Arabidopsis thaliana: one gene and its partners. The protein of the gene in region 1 interacts with the protein of each later gene in a biochemical or structural test. Each region holds a gene or a part of one and is shown in the gene's direction. Other genes may lie near its edges.

Evidence for each region.
Region 2: the proteins of HSP90.1 (region 1) and TPR7 form a complex in vitro, tested with the Arabidopsis thaliana proteins (one study listed by BioGRID).
Region 3: the proteins of HSP90.1 (region 1) and PBS2 form a complex in vitro, tested with the Arabidopsis thaliana proteins (one study listed by BioGRID).

Annotation. Positions count from the first base shown.
Region 1 is NC_003076.8:21,350,446-21,354,199, forward strand, and holds the start of HSP90.1 (heat shock-like protein), read left to right. Parts: upstream 1-2,111; coding exon 2,112-2,234; intron 2,235-2,549; coding exon 2,550-2,691; intron 2,692-2,776; coding exon 2,777-3,057; intron 3,058-3,145; coding exon 3,146-3,754. Other genes in the region: MEF1 (mitochondrial RNAediting factor 1), read left to right, coding at 1-1,696. UniProt on the Arabidopsis thaliana protein: Functions as a holding molecular chaperone (holdase) which stabilizes unfolding protein intermediates and rapidly releases them in an active form once stress has abated.
Region 2 is NC_003076.8:7,271,176-7,274,929, forward strand, and holds the start of TPR7 (Tetratricopeptide repeat (TPR)-like superfamily protein), read left to right. Parts: upstream 1-1,895; 5' UTR 1,896-2,219; coding exon 2,220-2,315; intron 2,316-2,427; coding exon 2,428-2,658; intron 2,659-2,794; coding exon 2,795-2,851; intron 2,852-2,965; coding exon 2,966-3,094; intron 3,095-3,280; coding exon 3,281-3,358; intron 3,359-3,479; coding exon 3,480-3,550; intron 3,551-3,672; coding exon 3,673-3,722; intron 3,723-3,754. UniProt on the Arabidopsis thaliana protein: Plays a role in protein import into the endoplasmic reticulum (ER). May function as chaperone docking protein during post-translational protein translocation into the ER. Chaperone receptor mediating Hsp70-dependent protein targeting to chloroplasts.
Region 3 is NC_003076.8:21,001,261-21,005,014, reverse strand, and holds the start of PBS2 (cysteine and histidine-rich domain-containing protein RAR1), read left to right. Parts: upstream 1-1,728; 5' UTR 1,729-1,871; coding exon 1,872-1,979; exon of another isoform or gene 1,980-2,690; coding exon 2,691-2,693; intron 2,694-2,792; coding exon 2,793-2,875; intron 2,876-2,974; coding exon 2,975-3,129; intron 3,130-3,224; coding exon 3,225-3,454; intron 3,455-3,540; coding exon 3,541-3,642; 3' UTR 3,643-3,754. Other genes in the region: KEA5 (K+ efflux antiporter 5), read left to right, coding at 31-75, 177-272, 399-449.

The DNA of each region.
Region 1 (3,754 bases):
TTCAGCTCGAACCAGATCAACTATTAAAGGACTTCAGCTTCATGGCTATGTCGTTAAATCAGGCCTTTCTCTTATCCCTCTCGTCGCTAACAACCTCATTAATTTCTACTCCAAATCACAGCTTCCGTTTGATTCTCGTCGAGCTTTTGAAGATAGCCCACAAAAAAGTTCGACGACTTGGAGTTCAATCATCTCTTGTTTTGCCCAGAACGAGCTTCCATGGATGTCACTCGAGTTTCTTAAAAAAATGATGGCGGGAAACCTTAGACCTGATGATCATGTTCTTCCATCAGCTACAAAGTCGTGTGCGATTTTGAGTCGTTGTGATATTGGTAGATCAGTTCATTGTCTATCGATGAAGACTGGGTATGATGCTGATGTGTTTGTGGGGAGTTCTTTGGTTGATATGTATGCGAAATGTGGAGAAATTGTTTATGCGAGGAAGATGTTCGACGAAATGCCTCAGAGAAATGTTGTTACTTGGAGTGGGATGATGTATGGGTATGCACAAATGGGTGAAAATGAGGAAGCTTTGTGGTTGTTTAAAGAAGCTTTGTTTGAGAATCTCGCTGTTAATGATTACTCGTTTTCGAGTGTTATTAGTGTTTGTGCAAATTCGACTCTACTTGAGTTAGGTAGACAGATTCATGGATTGAGTATTAAGTCTAGCTTTGATTCTTCTAGCTTTGTGGGAAGTTCTTTAGTCTCGTTGTATTCAAAGTGTGGTGTTCCTGAAGGAGCTTATCAAGTTTTTAACGAGGTGCCTGTGAAGAATCTCGGGATTTGGAACGCTATGCTCAAGGCGTATGCGCAACATTCACATACTCAAAAGGTTATTGAATTGTTCAAAAGGATGAAGCTTTCTGGAATGAAACCAAATTTCATAACTTTTTTGAATGTGCTCAATGCTTGTAGTCACGCGGGTCTAGTTGATGAAGGGAGATACTACTTTGATCAGATGAAAGAATCGAGGATTGAGCCGACGGATAAGCATTACGCTTCCTTGGTGGATATGTTAGGACGAGCTGGTAGATTACAAGAAGCACTTGAAGTTATCACTAATATGCCGATTGATCCCACGGAATCTGTATGGGGAGCTTTATTAACGAGTTGTACAGTCCACAAGAACACAGAGCTTGCAGCATTTGCAGCAGACAAGGTCTTCGAATTAGGACCAGTGAGTTCCGGTATGCACATTTCGTTATCCAATGCTTATGCAGCCGATGGTAGATTCGAAGACGCAGCTAAAGCTAGAAAATTGCTTCGAGACCGAGGGGAAAAGAAGGAAACAGGGCTAAGTTGGGTTGAAGAAAGGAACAAGGTTCATACATTTGCAGCTGGAGAAAGACGTCATGAGAAAAGCAAGGAGATATATGAGAAGCTGGCTGAGTTAGGGGAAGAGATGGAGAAAGCGGGTTACATTGCAGACACAAGCTATGTTCTGAGAGAAGTGGATGGTGACGAGAAGAATCAAACCATAAGGTATCATAGTGAGAGATTAGCTATTGCTTTTGGACTGATCACGTTTCCAGCTGATAGACCGATCCGAGTAATGAAGAATCTGCGTGTTTGCGGTGATTGCCATAACGCGATCAAGTTCATGTCCGTATGTACGAGACGAGTGATCATTGTGAGAGATAATAATCGGTTTCATCGGTTTGAAGATGGCAAGTGTTCTTGTAATGACTATTGGTGAAGAAGACAAATGAGAGTTGGTTTATATTTAACCATAATTTCATTCAGTTCACACTGAACCGGCGAAATTTCTTTGCCAGACCTATTCGGAATTGAAACAAGTGGAGTCTCGAAACGAAAAGAACTTTCTGGAATTCGTTTGCTCACAAAGCTAAAAACGGTTGATTTCATCGAAATACGGCGTCGTTTTCAAAGAACAATCCAGAAATCACTGGTTTTCCTTTATTTCAAAAGAAGAGACTAGAACTTTATTTCTCCTCTATAAAATCACTTTGTTTTTTCCTCTCTTCTTCATAAATCAACAAAACAATCACAAATCTCTCGAAACGCTCTCGAAGTTCCAAATTTTCTCTTAGCATTCTCTTTCGTTTCTCGTTTGCGTTGAATCAAAGTTCGTTGCGATGGCGGATGTTCAGATGGCTGATGCAGAGACTTTTGCTTTCCAAGCTGAGATTAACCAGCTTCTTAGCTTGATCATCAACACGTTCTACAGCAACAAAGAAATCTTCCTCCGTGAGCTCATCAGTAACTCTTCTGATGTAAGTTTCCCTTCAAATCTCTCTCTGCTCGGTGTGACTCGTCCGCTTCCTATTTTCTTGCATGTTGTTTGTTCTTTAATTCCTGGATTCGTTGATAGCGTTGGATTCGTAGGTTTAGCGTTGTGATTGCTTATTCAAATAAATCGTGATTTGGCTTGTGCATCACGTTAAGTTTAGAATTCTTAGCTTGTGCTCGATCTTCATGTGTTGTAGTTACATATATAGAACGGTTCTTGCTTCGATGTAGTCTTTGATTTACCCTAGAGGATTGAGGAAAGCTTCTGATTATCTTTGTTTATATGAATGGTTTTGTAGGCTCTTGACAAGATCCGATTTGAGAGCTTAACGGATAAGAGCAAGCTCGATGGACAGCCTGAACTCTTCATTAGATTGGTTCCTGACAAGTCTAATAAGACGCTCTCAATTATTGACAGTGGTATTGGCATGACCAAAGCAGGTAACGAATCAATGCCTAATAATCTCTCGTTGGTGAGATGTTTTAGTGTATGTGCTGTGGTTATGACTCTCTATTATTTTTTCAGATTTGGTGAACAACTTGGGAACCATTGCGAGGTCTGGAACAAAAGAGTTTATGGAGGCGCTTCAAGCTGGAGCTGATGTAAGCATGATAGGACAATTTGGTGTTGGTTTCTACTCTGCTTATCTTGTTGCAGAGAAGGTTGTTGTCACTACAAAGCACAATGATGATGAACAATACGTTTGGGAGTCTCAAGCTGGTGGTTCCTTCACTGTCACTAGGGATGTGGATGGGGAACCACTTGGTAGAGGAACTAAGATCACCCTCTTCCTTAAGGACGATCAGGTAAGGAATCGTAGCTTTGAGTGTTTTGGGGATTGTTTCTTTTCTTTTGGTGTTTTCTGTGTTCTTACAAGTGTGTTTATTCATGCAGCTTGAATACTTGGAGGAGAGGAGACTCAAAGACTTGGTGAAGAAGCACTCTGAGTTCATCAGTTACCCTATCTACCTTTGGACCGAGAAAACCACCGAGAAGGAGATCAGTGACGATGAGGATGAAGATGAACCAAAGAAAGAAAACGAAGGTGAGGTTGAAGAAGTTGATGAGGAGAAGGAGAAAGATGGTAAAAAGAAGAAGAAAATCAAGGAAGTCTCTCACGAGTGGGAACTCATCAACAAGCAGAAACCGATCTGGTTGAGGAAGCCAGAAGAGATCACTAAGGAAGAGTATGCTGCTTTCTACAAGAGCTTGACCAATGACTGGGAAGATCACTTAGCCGTGAAACACTTCTCAGTGGAGGGTCAGCTAGAATTCAAGGCCATTCTCTTTGTACCAAAGAGAGCTCCGTTTGATCTCTTTGACACGAGGAAGAAGTTGAACAACATCAAGCTTTATGTCAGGAGGGTGTTCATTATGGACAACTGTGAAGAGCTAATCCCAGAGTACCTCAGCTTTGTGAAAGGTGTTGTTGACTCTGATGACTTGCCACTCAACATCTCTCGTGAGACGCTTCAACAGAACAAGATCCTTAAGGTGATCAGG
Region 2 (3,754 bases), about 14 Mb from region 1:
CAAAAAGTTAGGCTAGTAAGCAACCATTCAAATGGTAAATGTTACCAAATTACCAATCAAGTCCACAGAACATACACACAAAAACGAAAGACCGGATTGATGGGTTAATGGAGGAAGGTGGGGGCTGACCGGCTGAGAAGTGATGTGACGGATCCTAATAAGAACAGCAATCGTACACAACTTGCTGCTGTGAAAGAGAGAAAGAGAAGTACCAGTGACAAGTGGCATGCCACGTGGGCCGGCGGTTTAGGACCCAATCAGAGTGAAACTGCCACGTGAGATCCTCTCCACGTCCCGACAACCATCAAAATTCAAAGCCTTCTTCTTTCTGTTTCCTCCATCATGCTCTTTAACTCATTTTTTCCCTAGCATATCAATTTTAAAAAAATAGTTTGCAATTTACGGCAATAAAATGTGGGCAACAAAAACAAAACTGAATATTTACATTCGTTTTCATTGTACAATAGAGGGTACATTCAAAAAATACAACTCACTCATTATCCTAGATTGCTTTGCCATATAATAGTAGAATACGTAAGAATGTGTCTACGATGTATTCTAAAGGATAACAAGGGCTATGTGAATTATAAAATCAAGGCTATATATGTGTATGCATATTTTGGTTCGTGTAAACATGTTAAAAAGTTGCTTTGTTGTAATCTATTTAGAAGCACATGCATGTTGTAATCTAGCTTCGAGAGATGTTGCACAACATGTATCAGAATGCTTTAGCAATATTGCTTTATTAATTATAAGTTGAAGATATTGTTTCCTTCTTGTTTGTTATATGATATAACTTTATTAATCCATTGGTTTCATTGTGACCAAGAAGAAGAGGTTTGCTAGAATTTCCTCGTTCTCGCTGCAATAGTACTTAGTGATTAGTTAATTGATAATCATAAATCATATCAACATTCACTTCTCTCAGACTGCTATCATTTAGTGAATCATAATCTCTGCTAATATTGAAAAATTGGGAGACGAGAGATAGATGAGAGTTGTAGCTAGCTTTAGTCAAAGTGGTCCTCTTCTAATGTGACTATACCACCGTTTCCATTCTTTCAAACATTGAAACATTTATGCTGCGGTGGAGAGAAATAAACATTTCAGAAAAATTAATTGATAGATGTACTCGTCGATGAAACTATATCGAAACAATATTGAAAAAAGTATTACCAAACACAACTTATATGTCACTAAAACTCGTCTTTTTTCTTTGTATGGTCAAAACACTAAAACTCGTTCAACAACTGAAAAGATTGTCGTATTGAAATAAAATTCTTTGCCCGAATAGTTGTACATATGTATTTTTTTGTTAAGATCATTTTGATATTTAAGATACTAAAAATTCTGCAGAAGACATGCATATTTTAAAGTTTAATAAATGGATTACTTTAGAGATTGAGTCTATGAAACTGAATACTAAACATTTTTGGATTCCAACAAATATATTATGGCTCTGAATGGTAATCAAAACCGCACTTAAAACCGCACCGCAACAGTACTGTAACAGTATTAAAATCTCTACATATTCATATGTATCTATATATTTTCGTTACTATTTGAACCGCACCGTACTTCTCCCGCACCGCAAAACGCAATCACCATTCGGAGCTTATATCATGGAGATGTAGCTGGGCAAACATATGATATCGATATCCAGACCCTAAAGAATTTTAAAATATCAAAAAATTATTTGTACCCTCAAACAAATTTAAATTGAATTTTATTGACACTTTAACACGTGTAACAGTTAAATTGGACGACTCTTTCTAAAACGAAATAAAAAAGAGTTTAACAAGAGATTCGTTTCAGTTTAAGAAGAAAAAAAACACGAGATTAGTCTTCCAACATGGACAAGGACATGACAATTTGCACGTAATCATATAGTTACGTTAATCAATACAATTACGTAAATTAATTTATTATGGCACGTCACAGCATCATCGTAGATCAAGGGTAAAACAGTCATTCTCCATCATCCAGGCATATTCCGGTCGGTGAATTGAGGAGGTTGAGCGATAAATTTTCCAATTCGATTCTATATTATTGGAAACTACTTTCGGGTCGGCAAAACAATTCTCCTTCGATTTTCCGATTCTCACAAACTCAATCTCGATCCAGATTCCGAGCTTATCCTTCTCTGGCGAATTTCGATTTTCTGTGTTTCCGATCTGATTACAGAGAACCACATCGAAGCTTCGAGAAAAAAAAACACGATGTTTAACGGGTTAATGGATCCTGAGATGATTCGGCTCGCTCAAGATCAGATGAGTCGTATGACTCCTGCTGATTTCGCTAGGATCCAACAACAGGTTTCGTTATTTTTCCTGATTCGAATTATTCGATCGATTCTGAGGAGAATTTGTTTGATTTGATTTGATTATGGCTTTGTATGATGAATTTATACCATTGTTTATTATACAGATGATGTCAAATCCAGATTTGATGAATATGGCAACAGAGAGTATGAAGAACATGAGGCCTGAAGATTTGAAACAAGCTGCGGAACAGCTTAAGCATACTCGGCCTGAAGATATGGCTGAGATTAGCGAGAAGATGGCTAAAGCTTCCCCTGAAGATATTGCAGCTATGCGTGCTCATGCTGATGCTCAATTTACTTATCAGATCAATGCAGCTCAGATGCTTAAAAAACAGGTAACAATTGACTTCCTGAGAGAAGTTTTCTATTGAATTTTGCTTTCCTGATTATAAAGTAAGGAACAAGAATGGCTTCAGCAAGTGGACCTTTGTGTAATTTGATGTTAATCTCATTTTCTACTACGTTTGGCAGGGAAACGAGCTTCATAGCCGAGGAAATTTCAGCGATGCCGCAGAGAAATACTTGCGTGTAAGTCTGCAGACGTATCTCATTTGTCATGCTACTTGACAAGAAGAGTTTTATTTGTAACCTGATATGCGATTCTTTTCTACTTGTTTACAATGCTCTTGGACCATATCTCAGGCGAAGAACAATCTGAAAGAGATTCCATCTTCTAAAGGTGGAGCAATTTTGTTGGCTTGTTCTCTCAATCTAATGTCGTGTTATTTGAAGACGAATCAGCATGAAGAGTGCATAAAGGAAGGTTCTGAGGTATATTCTTTATGCTCTTAATTTTCTGAAAACTCATAGATGAAAACATTTTTAGGAAAAAGAGAGATGGCAATCTTTTGGCTTCTTTTTTGTAGATGTAACACATGATGTCATACAGCGTTTTATGATCTATTCAAAACTGTTTCGACATTCTTCTGATAAATTTACATTCTTACATTATTTCAGGTTTTGGGATATGATGCAAGGAATGTCAAAGCCCTATACAGAAGGGGTCAAGCTTACAGAGATTTGGGCTTGTTTGAAGTGAGTTCTTCTGTTGCTTATGGAACTTTCTTGAGATTCCTTGTCGATATATATGTTTGTACTGTAGATATGTCCTGACTATATGTTTGCTCAATGCTCATTCACTCTCTTAAACTATAAGGATGCCGTCTCTGATCTAAGCAAGGCCCATGAAGTTTCCCCAGAAGATGAGACAATTGCCGATGTGTTAAGGTATGGATTTTTATATTCATTACTGGTAATGTCATACTTTTCAGTTCTGCTTATCTCAGAGGTTTTGATATTAACATTGAAAAAATAACTTTTGACTTGAAGTATTATCTTTTCTGATGCAGAGATGTTAAGGAAAGATTGGCTGTCGAGGGACCTGGCAAGGCATCAAGAGGTATAATATTATTCCTTATGATTTATTCGAAA
Region 3 (3,754 bases), 350 kb from region 1:
CTTTGGGATTAATATGAATGACCAATGTAGGGGAAAATGTATCTACTCCTTTTGGGCACAACTGCTCTAAGTCTCGTAAGTTACCTAATATATGCAAACAAGCCTTTTCCATTCTAAGAGAACATACTTAAAATAATATTTAGTTCAAAACTGATTACCTGAAAATGCTGTTACAGGTAACGACTCCGTTGCTATTCAAGTTAATACCGAGTGCAATGAACCTCGGTGTCCTGCTTCGATGGTTCCCTTCTGAGAACAGTTCTCCGAACGAGGTCATTCTCTTTTCCAGATCTATTTATATTTAAGAACTGAGATAAGACATGACATAAAAATGAAAATAGATGTATTGATTATAGGAAACTGACTTGTGAGGTCGTGACTGAGAGTTTTGTTTGTAGAGTTTGCAGGAGAAAGCATCATTGATAGAAGTACATAACAGAACCAAGTGATCTCTCTTTTGTACATTGACTGAAGATTTAAGAAGAAAAAACAGATTTTGATCCGATATACTCAACTAGGAGGCAGAAAAAACATTTGAAACTGACCAAATCAGATCCAAGACTTGCTTTTTGTATTTTCTTAACTCTTTATTTTTTGTAATATCGTATATATTTAGTATTCACTACCTTCTTGTGTAGTTCAAGCGCTTATAGCTTGTTTTACTTGGTGTAAACGTTGTAACGATATTAGCCTTATATGCTGTTGTTTCTTTAATGTTCATCACAAATAAGAATCTCAATAGAAACCACAGAGTTCTATAATTGTGTGCTCAAACTCCACATATCTAAAGTGCGAGCAACAACTAGATGAATTTAGAGGTATAAATCCATTGCAATGCACAACAAAAATAACAAAAAAGAACCCTCCTTAGAAGAACAATGACATCAAAGTATAGAAAAGGATTGAGGTGGAATGAAGTAAGAGGCTGGTGAAATAGGAATTTAGTAGCACATATATGAGGACACGTGGAGCTTAGTGATTGGTTGAAATAAGAAAAGATACGTGGATTCGATTGGTATGAGCTGAAGTTGCTCAAGCTTAAGATCAAGTTGTTCATCGTCTTCTTCATTATGCAAAAATCTGAGAATTGTAAACTTTTCTTCTTCTTCCTTTCTTGTGTGTTTGGGGTTGTTACTCATTGTTAGTTTGAGATACTTCCTTCAATTCACTAATATTATTTATTTACGGGCAAATCTTAATGTGAGATTTTTGCATAGTGAGAAGTGAATCTGCGTTTTATGAACATCGTTTCAATCTATAGTTCGATTTCATTTGTGAGATTGTTGAGTTTCCTGTATCAGCTGGTTAAATAGCAAATCTACCATTCTTATCACCATTACGGAGATTGAATTTTCCGGAGTCATGGCTTTCCACGTAGTAGATGAAGTTTGGGGATAGGCCATACAAGCAAACTTGGAGACGGAAATATATACAAATAGAAAAACAAAATAATTAAGATTAGTTTTGCACAAACTTTGCAAAAACATCAAAATAGGTCCGACATTTAAATCACTTGCTTAGGTCTATAAAATAACACTCCCATCATTCAACATATTTTTCCTCTTGTGGGTTAGACCTACAAATCCGTGGATAAAACTCTTTAAAAACCTGTAATCTGTAACATATTGGCTTATTATCCATCACGCATGCTATTTTATGGACATGAAAATAATGTCCAAGCGGACCAAGCCCGCTCTGCATGGTATTATTTGGGCCGAGGCCCGTTTTACTCATCAGTTTTCATTACCGGTCAAAACTCAAAAGTCAAAATTTTCTAAAAGACGAAAAAGCCCTTTAATTTGATTTCCCAATACTTTTTACTCCTACCTTCTCAATTCGTCCGATTTCTTCACAAATTCACGAGAGAGATAATGGAAGTAGGATCTGCAACGAAGAAGCTTCAGTGCCAACGTATTGGCTGCAACGCCATGTTCACCGATGACGACAATCCTCAAGGTTCTTGTCAATTTCATGCTTCCGTACGTCTTCTTCTCTCCCCATCTTTAATCGATTCTTCTCTTTCTTTTCTAAGTCTTCGATAGTTTCTGATAAACCCATAGAGTAGCTTTTGAATTTGATTTTATGATGTGAGGTTACGAATTTCGATTTTTGATCATGAGAAGATGATTACGCAAGTGTTTAATTAGGTTTTGGATTAGCTGATTGATTACATGTAGATTTCATTTAGTTGTAAGTAAGTAAGCTTTGAACACAGCTTTGATTGTCTAATTGTCAAATTTTAACTAAGTTGTTTGCTTGCAACCTATGAATTCTGTGAGACTGTGAGCTTATTAGAACACTTGATGGAAGAAAGCAAAAGTATATTGCGTAAAATTGAATAATCCAAGTATTAGATCTTTTGCCACCGTTTATGGCTATGTGAGGGAGAGTGTACGTACATGCAGCGACTTTTGAATTGTTTGCTTCCAACTTTTGCCACCGGTTATGGCTATGTGAGGGAGAGAGCTCGTTAAGACTGTCCCTGGAAGTGTAATTAGAACAATTGTGTATAGAAAGAAGGCTTTATCTCAATATTCATCTTAACATTTGGCCTTGTATACTAGTGTTTCTTTCATATTCATCTATTGCTTTGAGCTTTTTATTGTAATTCATCTTCTTTTATTATCTTTTCTTTTTCCGGTGTGGCTGGGGCTGGTCTTTGCACTGACTACTGGTTTTTGTTCAAGCAGGGAGTAAGTCAAATTTACTCTTCAAATACTGTTTTATGTTTTTTTTTTTGTTTCACACTCGCTTGCTCAGAGAATTAAAGCTACCAAAGTTCAAACTTGCAGCCATTTTTTCACGACGGAATGAAAGAGTGGAGCTGCTGCAAGCAAAGAAGTCATGATTTCAGTTTGTTCTTGGAAATTCCAGGGTAACTAATATCCTTGTACCCCCTCATAATAATTCCTCTGTCTTTCATGGTACATATTGTAGTTGATTGCAAACACTGAAGATGTTTCTTGCAATGAAGATGTAAAACAGGTAAACACACAACTGAGAAACCAGTTCTGGCCAAATCGGTTCCAAAACATCCTGTTGCGGCTCCTACTTCATCTCCAGATGCCAATGCAGCAACAAAAGACTCTTGCTCCAGATGCCGGCAAGGCTTCTTCTGCTCAGACCATGGTTTGTATCTTTATTCTCTCGTCTTTAAATTCTCGTTGCACATTGGTTACATGCATGACCTTCTATCTAATTTTGTGTCCTTCTTTACCACACAGGATCCCAACCCAAAGAACAGATCAAGCAGACCCTGAACACACCGGGACAAGCAGAAGAAGAAAAAATTGAACCCTTAGCGCCTCCAGTACAAAAGGCTGTGATAGACATTAATCAACCGCAAGTCTGCAAAAACAAAGGATGTGGCCAAACATTCAAAGAGAGAGACAATCATGAGACTGCATGTAGCCATCATCCAGGTCCTGCGGTCTTCCACGACAGACTGAGAGGGGTAACACGTTCTTTGTTCAATCATTTTGTGACCCTTTTCTTTCACTGTTTGAATTTCTATTGAATATCACTGTTTTCTTTGTGTAGTGGAAATGTTGCGATGTTCACGTGAAGGAGTTCGACGAGTTCATGGAAATACCTCCTTGCACTAAAGGATGGCATAGCAGCAGCCCTGATCCGGCGGTCTGATATATTTTTTTTCCTGAGATTTTCGATTCAAAGATTAATCATCTTTTCTAATTGTGTTTTCATGTTCTTCTTATCATATGGAATTCTATTTTAGATTTGTTATAGAACCTTT